Linked DNA regions of Kluyveromyces lactis. The protein of the gene in region 2 binds, or shares a complex with, the protein of the main gene of each other region. Links are inferred from orthologs where the notes say so. Each region holds a gene or a part of one and is shown on either strand. Other genes may lie near its edges.

Region 1 (2,415 bases), on a different chromosome or scaffold from region 2:
TGAACATTGACAATGTCAGAATACCCCAAGCAAAAGTGCAGAAACTCAACCAAATCCGAGGTTTGATTCTCAATAGAATCAAATTATGAGGGATCATACCTAACAAATATCCAACGGTGAAACACGTATTAGCGATATTGAACTGATTTGACTTGAACCCGAGATCCTCTTTCATACCGGAAACATAAGCATTGGTGAAACCGATTCTATCCACATAGTTGATCCAATATTGCAAGCAGACAAAAGAAAGAACGGTCAAATCGACCCGAAATAGCTTGCCCATGGCGTGATTACACTTTGATGTTATTCAGCTGTCCTTCTAGGACTCTTGGCGGTGTATACCAGTACCTATTTCTCTCTGAAGAGATGTCACAATCTGTTGACTCACCAACTTTAAGATGATCAAAAAACCGGAACGATATAGTACAATTTGATGACACTATTTATATACAAACAGATAATAAGTACGTATAAATACCATTCAACACTCAAACGACAGAATTCGAAGCTCTCGATCTGCAGAATCTTCAGGTTTCTTCAGAACCATCCAATAGATCGTTTATCTCTTGTTCTTGCTTGCTGTTACGAGGTTTTTTCACGTGATTGATCTTCTCAGTCAAATACTCATTGATATCGTCTTGTAATCCGGTCAATTGCATCCGCAGTTGCGAAAGCGTGGTATATTGATCGATTCCTGTCTTACTATTGACGTTATCAACCTTCTTTGGGTCACTAGGTTTATCGACGTCTTGATGCCCTTGTTTCAATACATAATCTGAAGCACCAGTAGTTCTTCCCTCCGTAGTCTGGTACCTGGGGTCAGAAGGATCGACTTCGAATTCATGAGTTGATTTGGGTCCGGTATATGTAGCGTGTGGTAAAGACATTGGTTGATCCTTGTGTTCGATACCCTTTTTTATCTTTTTAATACCTTGTTGATGAGATGAGATGATGATTTAACATTAGAAATCTTGACAATATGATAAATAAGAAATGCTATTCATCAGAACATGTCCTGTGACACAATGGGGGAAAAAAAAAGGCATACTAGTAGAAGTAAAGGCTGGGAGTGAGATTCGAGATGTCCTTGATAGAACTTATTAGATAAAAACAGTATTTATACGTAATTACTAAGAGACAGAGAGAGTATATAGAGGTAGTCAAAAAAATACTCCATGTGGAATAATACATTATTAGCAGCCGAGAGAAAACAACACGAATTGGTTAACAGATCACAGCATTCTTAAGCTTGTTGTTCTTCTTCAGTTTCAGGTGCCTTTGGGTTCTTCAACAAGTTGATATCCCTTTGAACCAAACTCAAACTTTGGCCCCTGGAACCATCTTCTCTTTCGAAAGTATAGTTAGAAGCATCAGCTTCGATGTAAACCAAAGCACCTTTCTTGACGTATTGTGTCATGAAATTGATGTGGTTAGTGTTGAAAACAGTGACATTGAACCAGTTTGTGTTGCTGTCCTTTCTTGGCTGAGAAGCAATGGAGTATTTCAAGTAACGAGTATCGTTAGCAGTAGTAAACTCTTGGTATTCGCTACCAATACGGCCGATAATGGACATCTTGGCAAAATCATTGGTGCGGGCAGTGGCCGAAAAGGCACGGCGTTGGGCTAATCTGAACATTGGGTGTTTAATTGTTTAATGATAATGATAATTTATCACTGGGCTGGGAAGTATAACTGTATTTTCACACGTATTCTTCTCATACTAATTCAGTCTTGATATTTGTTAAGGTAATTTATAAAACCGAATTATATCAAATGTCTTTATAAACAAAAATGTATATGAACGGAGAGTAAGAAATGGCACATTTACAATAAGAAAGAACATGCAGATGCGGGAAAAGAGAAACCGTGGCAATGTTTCGCATTGCAAATGGAGATTCTAGTTTCTCTTGTGACAAATTAGATATCAGAGGCGTATATTGTAATGTTTATGCTGTCATGAAACGAGTGCATTTGCTGGTATTTACGTTTATCGCGTCTTTACCAGTAAGAAACTCTTCGAGTTATCACCATTGTTATCCGGGTAATTGAAGCATGTGATAATCACGTGCCTTGTATTCTATTGTCATTACCCGGTTTTGAGTCAATGTTTCCAACATGAAATGCCCCTCGTTGGCTTTGTCTTTCCCCTGTCATCTCGTTCTTTTAAAGGCCTGGTATCTATGCCTGACTCAAATAACAAACTTGACTATCTTCGTTACAGATTGACTTGAGTGCGTTCATTCTAACCCGTGGTTTACTCTAGATATTCTGAGTACTGATATATAAACGAGTACGTTCACAGGAACAATCTCTGTGGGTCTATTACTGGTAAATTGTGGAGTGTGTGATAACGATATTATTTAACGCAGTTTAAGTTCAAGTACAAATTCAAATCAATAATATATAGACCAGAAC
Region 2 (2,981 bases):
TTACGCTTCATATTTCCATCGTTATCTGTACTGTATAATGACATTTCTTCAATTGAATCGCCATCTCTTATAAGCTTTACTATAAGATCTGAGTACACTTTGCTGTTGCCTGGTACAATCGCATTTCTAAAGATGCCTGGCGGTTTGAAATATAAGGTCGATATTGACTCCGCGGATTTTGATATCTGATCCAGGCAGTAATCTAATGATCCAGACATCCTTTGATGTTGTTAAAAAACACTACACGTACAGATTAGGCACCACCCTCTTTCAGGAAACTGCTATGGAATACAATATTTCATCCAATACTATGTAATTTCTTGAAATACTCCAAATGATTCATTTATCTTTTAACTCGATTATGTTTACATTTTAGTTTTTTTGTTTTCGGTGTTTACGAAATCTTTACGTGAAAAGAGTTGGCATTATGTTAATGGAAAAGGTTGACAGAAGACTTTTAAGGCTCATGCGGCCTTTACATCGGGGTAAGCTAAGCGAGAACTATTGCTTACTTTATTCTATATATGATGATAAATAAACAAGAAAATCAGAATTGGCTATTATTATTCTCTCCATGCGATATAAACCTCATCGGTTCTAAACTTCTGCGTGACAATGGTTTCAGAAAGATCCTTAACAAAGTGGCCTGTTCTGTACTCTAATAGGCCTGCCTGGGCAATCATCACACCATTATCAATACAGAATCTGTCATCAGTTGCGTGTACTTGTCCATTGGACCTGTCTTTACACATTTGGGCCATCATCTCTTGAAGCCTAACGTTGCATCCAACACCACCCACTATTAGCACTTGGTTTGAGTTTACATGGGCCATTGCACGTTCGGTAATCTCCACAAGCATGGCAAATAAATTTTCCTGTAAAGAGTAACATAGGTCTTCTACAGTCACAAGCTGTTCTCCTGTTCTTGAATCAAATAATAATTTATTCTTCAAGTTCTTTTTGAATAGGTCTTTCGCTAAAGTGTCAATATATTGCAAAATACCACTCATTGACAGATCCATTCCCTTAACAGTGTATGGTAATACCACTAATTTTTCTTTATTCTTACACTGTTTAGCCAGTTGTTCAATGTTGTAACCAGGCGATGGTGCATTCGGTATCTTCAAAGTTCTTGCAAATCTGTCTAAACAATTCCCAATGGCGATGTCCAACGTTTCACCAAAGATTCGATATCTTTTCTCGGAGTAAGCAATAACTTGAGTGTTACCTCCACTAACATAGAGCACGACAGGATTTTTAGCTCCTGTGATCTCTCTCCCCATCTCGATATGCCCCACACAGTGGTTAACCCCAACTAATGGTATGTCCCACATCAATGACAAAGTCCTTGCAGCTATAACCACACAATGCAAAGGAGCACCCATTCCAGGTCCTCTAGTGAAACATATCACATCGATCTTTGTGGGATCATCGATCTTGGCCTCCGTTAATGCCTTTCTAATGATTCGTACCACCCAATTCCTATGATGTCTTGCAGTATCTCTTGGTAAAAACCCTTCTCCTGGCGGTGTCACATATGTATCTCTAATATTAGCCAATATTTCAACATCACACTCATACGAAAGGTCACTATCTTCATGTTTTTCTAGCACTGGGTGCTTGATAATACCAACGCCTAACTTGTTGGCAGATCCTTCAAGACCAATTGCCAAATAATAGTTCCTTTTACCTCTTGGTGGAATGCCGTTTAAATTCACCATCTCTTACTGAAAAAAGAATTTTTGACGATAATAGGTATACCTTCAATGAATATCGCACGAACACACGTTGAACTGGTGAGACACACTATATATTCAGGGAGTTGTATTACAGATCAAGATAGTCAACTCATCTCAGTTCAACTTTTCGGTTTTCTCAGATTCCAATTTTTCAAAAAATCATATACACCAATTTTGTGAGTAAAAGATAGCATAGTAAGAGGAGCAACAACAGAAAAAGTGTATCAAACTGCAAGACATAGTCATAGCTGGTCAATCACTCGTTGAGGGGAAAAGATTGTGTACAGAACGTATTTTCAGATTCGATATGAAAAAAGATCTCCGCGACGGGGAATTGAACCCCGATCTCGCACGCGACAAGCGCGAATTCTAACCATTAAACTATCGCGGATTTTGAAATAAAGCACTCACGGTGGGGGTCGAACCCACAATCTTCTGATTAGAAGTCAGACGCGTTGCCATTACGCCACGCGAGCTATTTAATTCGTTGAGTTGCTTGAATTCCCTTTAATTTATGTACGGAAGCCGAAACCACGTGCTAACAATGTGCATCTTTGGATAATTTATTAATGGATTTCACCCTTTGAATCAACGCAAAAATACCTTTTATTAATTGCAACCAGCGGAAATCTTTTTACTACGACAGTGAAACTCCCTGAGCTAATTTTATCTCATTAGCCTCTTTATATTTATCATTAACAACAGAATGTTATAAATACTTCTTCAATATATGAATTAATTGCCATTGGGCAATTAATTGGGGGATAGTATAAACTTTCAGCAATGTTTGATAAAAGACCTTCTAAAATACGTACACCACTGTGAGGTATGAAGCCTCAATCTAGAGGAAGGAGCTGAACATGCAAATCAGTTAGCAACTGAGGTCTTCAAGACTTCATTCGCCGATCACATGACATTCACAGACTCTGTGGACACCTAGAAAAGTTTTCTGCCAAAATTGCGAGGGCGTGTGGTCTAGTGGTATGATTCTCGCTTTGGGTTAGTAGCCTAGCGAAGCTTCGATAAACGAAGTTTAACTACTGCAAAGCATGCGAGAGGCCCTGGGTTCAATTCCCAGCTCGCCCCAGATTTTTTTTAATTTCTGATCTTTTCTACCACTGATTGCAACCCAGTGGAAAGTGTCAAATGAGAATATTTTCGTTCACAAAAGCACGTGATCAGCTCTGTGGCTTCTTGTATATATTAAGCTCTTATTAATAACTGTAACTTTCAACAGTAGAG
Region 3 (2,361 bases), on a different chromosome or scaffold from region 2:
TAATATATTATAAAGAATGTAGTACTTTTAATGATGGCTCCGTACAAGTCTCAATTCTTATCGTGGATGGTGGAGTATTCTTTCCCTCTAACTCTAGTAAGTTAAGAAGTTGCCCATCACAGCAAACTTCAAAGTTGCTCTTTTGTGACGGATCGTCTAGTACTTCGACGTTAAAACAAAATGGCAGTGGTCTGTAAAACGTTCCATTCTGTAAGATGTTTGAATGCTTCGTATTTGAATAACCCATAAATACCCTTTTCTGGAATTCTACTCTATCCAGAGAAGACTGGTATGCCAATACATGTAGTTGTGATTCCAATGGATCAGAATCGGGAGATGGCATATAAGTTGGCTCCAGATTTGTGGTATTTATTAACGCAAAATAACTAAAAGATCCTTCCAGAATATCGGGAATAGAGACGCGAGATTCGAGCTTGTATTCTCTTAAAATTCGCTGGCTAGCAACTCTAAACCTTTCAATGCCCATTTTCTGGTACTCATCTTCTTCGCAGAGATGAAGTAAATTTGCATGAAATCCCAGTGACAAAATTATGAAGAATTTAAGGACATAACCGTTGTCAAAAGTTGCCCTATACAACGGGAAATCGTTGCAGGACAACTTACCATTGACAAATTGTGAGAATATGACAGCTGGATCCATCAACTTCAAAGAGCTTGCCCATGCATTTCCTGTACCCATTGGGAATGGAAGCACTGAAATACAGTCGTGGTTCAAGGGCAGGTTATTAACGAATTCTGATATCGATGTATCACCAGAAAGAAAGAGAACAGTGTACTGTCTAGTGCTGTCAATGCTCGAGGCCAGTTCTATGACAGATGACTTGGATGTAGTTTTTATTAGGCGGTAAGGGACAATAACCTGCTCAAAGAATTGTGCTATGACGTTCGTGGCGAAATCGCAGTCTTTATCCCGGCCAGATCCTGAAAACACCGAATCTACGATGAGCAGTTCCCCCGAATATTCAAATTTCTTATTAGCGAGAAGCTTCTCATCATCTAAGAGTTTCGAACCAAGTTGGTACGATTTAGCACCTTCTGCTAAAAGCTTTGTGACAATTGTAAATGAGACACCGTTATATATCCCTAATTCTTGTTTAGTTACGTTAGACTCGTCAGGCATTCTGGCCATGAGAAAATTTTATCCTTGAAGATCGGCCTGCCAATCCTTAGCTGATAATAAATTATCTTCGCACCTGGTACCAGGACGGGCATTTTGATAGTAAGTCAGATATTAAAGACTTAAATCCATGCTTGATCTAAACTACCTTCAAACTTGATGTTCTGTTATTTTTACCCAATTAGAAATCAAAAAAGTCTTCGAAAAACGCATCCGTACTGTGTGTGGTTCATGTTCAGGATGAACTTATTGACTTTGAGATCTTTATGAATGATACACACTTGAAACTTGCTGCAGTAGTGAGTTCAATCAGCGGATAAATAGTACTCTTTTAAGATGAATAAAGGAGACACGTCTTTCGAGCACTCTTTGTATGTTATTTCTGGCTCTTATGAATGCAAGTTTATAACTTGAAATACTAACAAGTTGTGATGTAAAATGCCGTACAGACATTTGGAAATACCATTTGAAAGCATTAAACAAGCTGATGTAGCAAGGAAAGTGCTGCTTCCAGACCCCATCATGAAACCAGAGGATTTCCAAGTTACTTATTCTACGCAAGACACCAAACTTATATGTGATTTTGAAAGCGTTGACGAGCGTATTTTACGTGTAGGTGTGAACAGTGTCATTGAATCAATCAAGACAATCGTAGAAACTATTGATGAGTTGTGCTAATGCAAACAGAACAGTACACGTTCGGGGTGCCTTTTCATCATCTTCCCATCTTTCTATTACTTTCTAACCTATGGTACTATGAAATTTCTTAAGGCAGAAAAACTAAACGCAGAACAATTTGTGTCATTGCATTCGTTATTCATATTATGCAGGAACGAAAGTGAAGAAAAAAGTTAAGGATCAAGCCTAGCAATATTTACCAACAGTGTCATGAAATCCCTAAGTCTATAGCCAAGTTCTACAATAAAGCATCGTACTGATTAGCGACAATTCGTATCCATGCATTAGAATCAAAGAAGACCGTCGTCATGTGAGATGTCGTTACCATTTCGAGTTGTGGAGACACGCAGAGTACATCACCAGCTTTCAGACGAAGAAAAGAAAAATGATTGAGGTAATATGTAAAGGTTTGGCAAACAGATACAAACCGGTCGTAGAACTTTTCCTTTCCCCTTCCGTTTCCAAGCCAACTTATTAATGTATATATACATATGCCTTACTATCAATTTTTTAAATCTTACACAAATAAGCAGTTCAACATGTCG
Region 4 (2,429 bases), on a different chromosome or scaffold from region 2:
AGGAAGTTATTGAAAATGTGAAAAAGACTGTCAAGCTAAAGAAATCCTCTGCCAGAAGGAAGCTCGAAGAATTAAATAAAGTGTTAAGAAACAATCCTTACATGACAATGACAAATGGTAGAATGAAGAAGAAAGATACTGTACCGTTCACACCATTCAATGGGGACAGGGATTTACACAAAAGATACGAATTGGTTGAAAACGAGTATAATGATTCTTTCATCAGAGACTTACAAAAGAAGAAGGAATATATAGCCTCAGGATTCAGGGCGGACTTCATTTATGATAGAATGTTAACAGAGGCATTCATGGGTCTTGGTTGTATCATTAGCGAAGAATTACAATCCTCTTAGTTGTATCGCGTTGACGGCAAGTGTTGATAACTCTTCGTTTGATACATCTCCTACTTTATTCAATTTGTAATTCTACCGAAAAAAAAAACACATAGTACAATGGTAAAGAGCTCGGTAGCTCTTTATCCTCATCATAATCATATAGCATTTAGGTTAGTAATCTATTCATTATTAAGAGTCTTCTCATTTGTTCATAACTTATCACAAGGAATACATACCGTTTTGATAATTTCTTTATCGGCAGATGTAGAAAACTCATCATCCGAGACTGGAACTAGGTCCCCATCAACGGAAGCATTGCCATCATAGGGTTCTTCATTACTGTCTTCAATGATTTTGATCACAATTATATCAGTTGTTCCTTCCTTTATACCAAATCTGTTCAATGCATCGCCAATGTTCGAACTAGGAGATAGTGATAAAATGCATTCAGAATGGATAGTTCTTGTCCGCATTCTATTGTACTCTGTTTCCAAAATAGCCTTATAGATGGCACTCGACAATTGTTCAACGGATATCACAGTTTTGGAGTCGATGTATGCAAAAGGTAATTCAGCCAATTTGGATCGTAGCTCAGAAGAATTGGTAACATTGTTATACTTCTGAACATGAATAGTATACTCCTGAAACTGAGGAATCTTGTACTTCAAAACTATTCCAGCCATTTGTCTTGTGATGAGCTCTTGGAACTTCTTGGATGCAAGTCGCCTACTATCGGTCCTTCTTTTAACTTCACTTTCTGATTATCTGTACTGTTACTGACTTACTATTTAAATCTTTCAAATCAATCCGAGTAGTTTCTAGCGTAGAAAGATTGATAGAAAACCATGAGTACACAAACTTTACAAAAGGTTCAGAACAAGAAAACACAATAAGTGATCACTTTGCTATATCAACGGTATATGTACTGTCAATGGAGCTTCCAGACGAGGAAAACGTTTGGGATAGTGTTTTTGAGGAAAGGCAGTTGAGCGAAGTAGTACGGGATCAAGGACCAAATGATCTCGAACGACCAGCAGCGCATAAAGAACCAATTGCTACCGAACAACCACTGGGGAATAAGCTTGAGAATCAGAAAGATGATGATGATGACGAATATATTAGAAAAGTTCGTACAGCTGTAGAACAATTCGAAAAGGCAGGCTTCTTCGAGGATTTAGACGATACTAAAAAGGGTTCAAAAACAAAAGCCATGGTATATAAGCTAGCAGACGAGGTGATAGCCCGACATAAAGACAAACTCTTACGCATAAGAGACCCAAATTATGATAAGTGGTCTGAACCATTAAAAACCCCCATGATAGATAAATATCATGAAATCAAAGAAGAATGGAGACGTGAGGAAACGAACCACGGTTCCAGTAGTTTAAACAACAGTTCAATGACTACACAGAATGTTACATTTGCATGGAGTTCAAATGCTCATCGACCGGAGCTGACCGCACCAAAGAAGCCTTTGGAACCGCATTCCAATAAGAAATCAACAAATGAAATACTACGGAGTAAAGCAATGAAAAGCGCTCATGAATTAAGAAGTAAGCAAATTCTGCTCAATAAACTGCGGGATAAAAATGATAGAAACAATCTGCCTTCACAGGATGGTGATGATGTCAAGCCGAAATTTAAAATGGATCCCTTGGAACCATTTGTCGCCAAAGCTTTACCGAGAGAGAAGAAGAAGCGACCAAAGGAGAAAAGGAAGAGCAAATTTTGGTTTTGGGGATCCCTTACCCATCATACTGACGAAGGAAACCACAGAGACAAAGCTAGGTCGCCAGAGCTTGAAGATTATAAAATTGGTGTTGTATCACCGAATTCGCGGTCCCCCACGTTATCGATTCCTTTCTCTGATCCCGATAACACTCAGACTATTACCAATAACGCAGTATCGGACAACATTAACCATCACCTGTCGCTAATAGACCTCGACGATGACGAGGAACACTTAAAGTGTTCAACGCCACCGTTAATACTGTGATACGTACTTTTTTTAGGCCTAATATATTTATTTCTCATCCTATTTAAATATCATCTACATTAGCACTGTAACTATATACCTTTTTTTGAGCCGGCGTT

The links.
Region 1: KAE1 (region 2) and GON7 share a complex: the UniProt entries of both Saccharomyces cerevisiae proteins name them as parts of the EKC/KEOPS complex. The link is inferred for Kluyveromyces lactis from reciprocal best matches to the Saccharomyces cerevisiae genes KAE1 and GON7.
Region 3: KAE1 (region 2) and PCC1 share a complex: the UniProt entries of both Saccharomyces cerevisiae proteins name them as parts of the EKC/KEOPS complex. The link is inferred for Kluyveromyces lactis from reciprocal best matches to the Saccharomyces cerevisiae genes KAE1 and PCC1.
Region 4: KAE1 (region 2) and CGI121 share a complex: the UniProt entries of both Saccharomyces cerevisiae proteins name them as parts of the EKC/KEOPS complex. The link is inferred for Kluyveromyces lactis from reciprocal best matches to the Saccharomyces cerevisiae genes KAE1 and CGI121.

Annotation. Positions count from the first base shown.
Region 1 is NC_006037.1:564,648-567,062, reverse strand, and holds GON7 (chromatin DNA-binding EKC/KEOPS complex subunit GON7), read right to left. Parts: upstream 888-2,415; coding exon 528-887; downstream 1-527. Other genes in the region: FEN2 (Fen2p), read right to left, coding at 1-283; RIM1 (Rim1p), read right to left, coding at 1,244-1,636. UniProt on the Saccharomyces cerevisiae protein: Component of the EKC/KEOPS complex that is required for the formation of a threonylcarbamoyl group on adenosine at position 37 (t(6)A37) in tRNAs that read codons beginning with adenine.
Region 2 is NC_006042.1:1,999,414-2,002,394, forward strand, and holds KAE1 (tRNA N6-adenosine threonylcarbamoyltransferase), read right to left. Parts: upstream 1,722-2,981; coding exon 564-1,721; downstream 1-563. Other genes in the region: SPC34 (Spc34p), read right to left, coding at 1-218. UniProt on the Saccharomyces cerevisiae protein: Component of the EKC/KEOPS complex that is required for the formation of a threonylcarbamoyl group on adenosine at position 37 (t(6)A37) in tRNAs that read codons beginning with adenine.
Region 3 is NC_006037.1:48,888-51,248, reverse strand, and holds PCC1 (chromatin DNA-binding EKC/KEOPS complex subunit PCC1), read left to right. Parts: upstream 1-1,474; coding exon 1,475-1,509; intron 1,510-1,587; coding exon 1,588-1,816; downstream 1,817-2,361. Other genes in the region: KLLA0_A00550g (uncharacterized protein), read right to left, coding at 8-1,150. UniProt on the Saccharomyces cerevisiae protein: Component of the EKC/KEOPS complex that is required for the formation of a threonylcarbamoyl group on adenosine at position 37 (t(6)A37) in tRNAs that read codons beginning with adenine.
Region 4 is NC_006039.1:1,297,946-1,300,374, forward strand, and holds CGI121 (Cgi121p), read right to left. Parts: upstream 1,019-2,429; coding exon 545-1,018; downstream 1-544. Other genes in the region: TFIIH/NER complex subunit TFB3, read left to right, coding at 1-353; LFT1 (Lft1p), read left to right, coding at 1,267-2,331; KLLA0_C14916g (uncharacterized protein), read right to left, coding at 2,375-2,429. UniProt on the Saccharomyces cerevisiae protein: Component of the EKC/KEOPS complex that is required for the formation of a threonylcarbamoyl group on adenosine at position 37 (t(6)A37) in tRNAs that read codons beginning with adenine.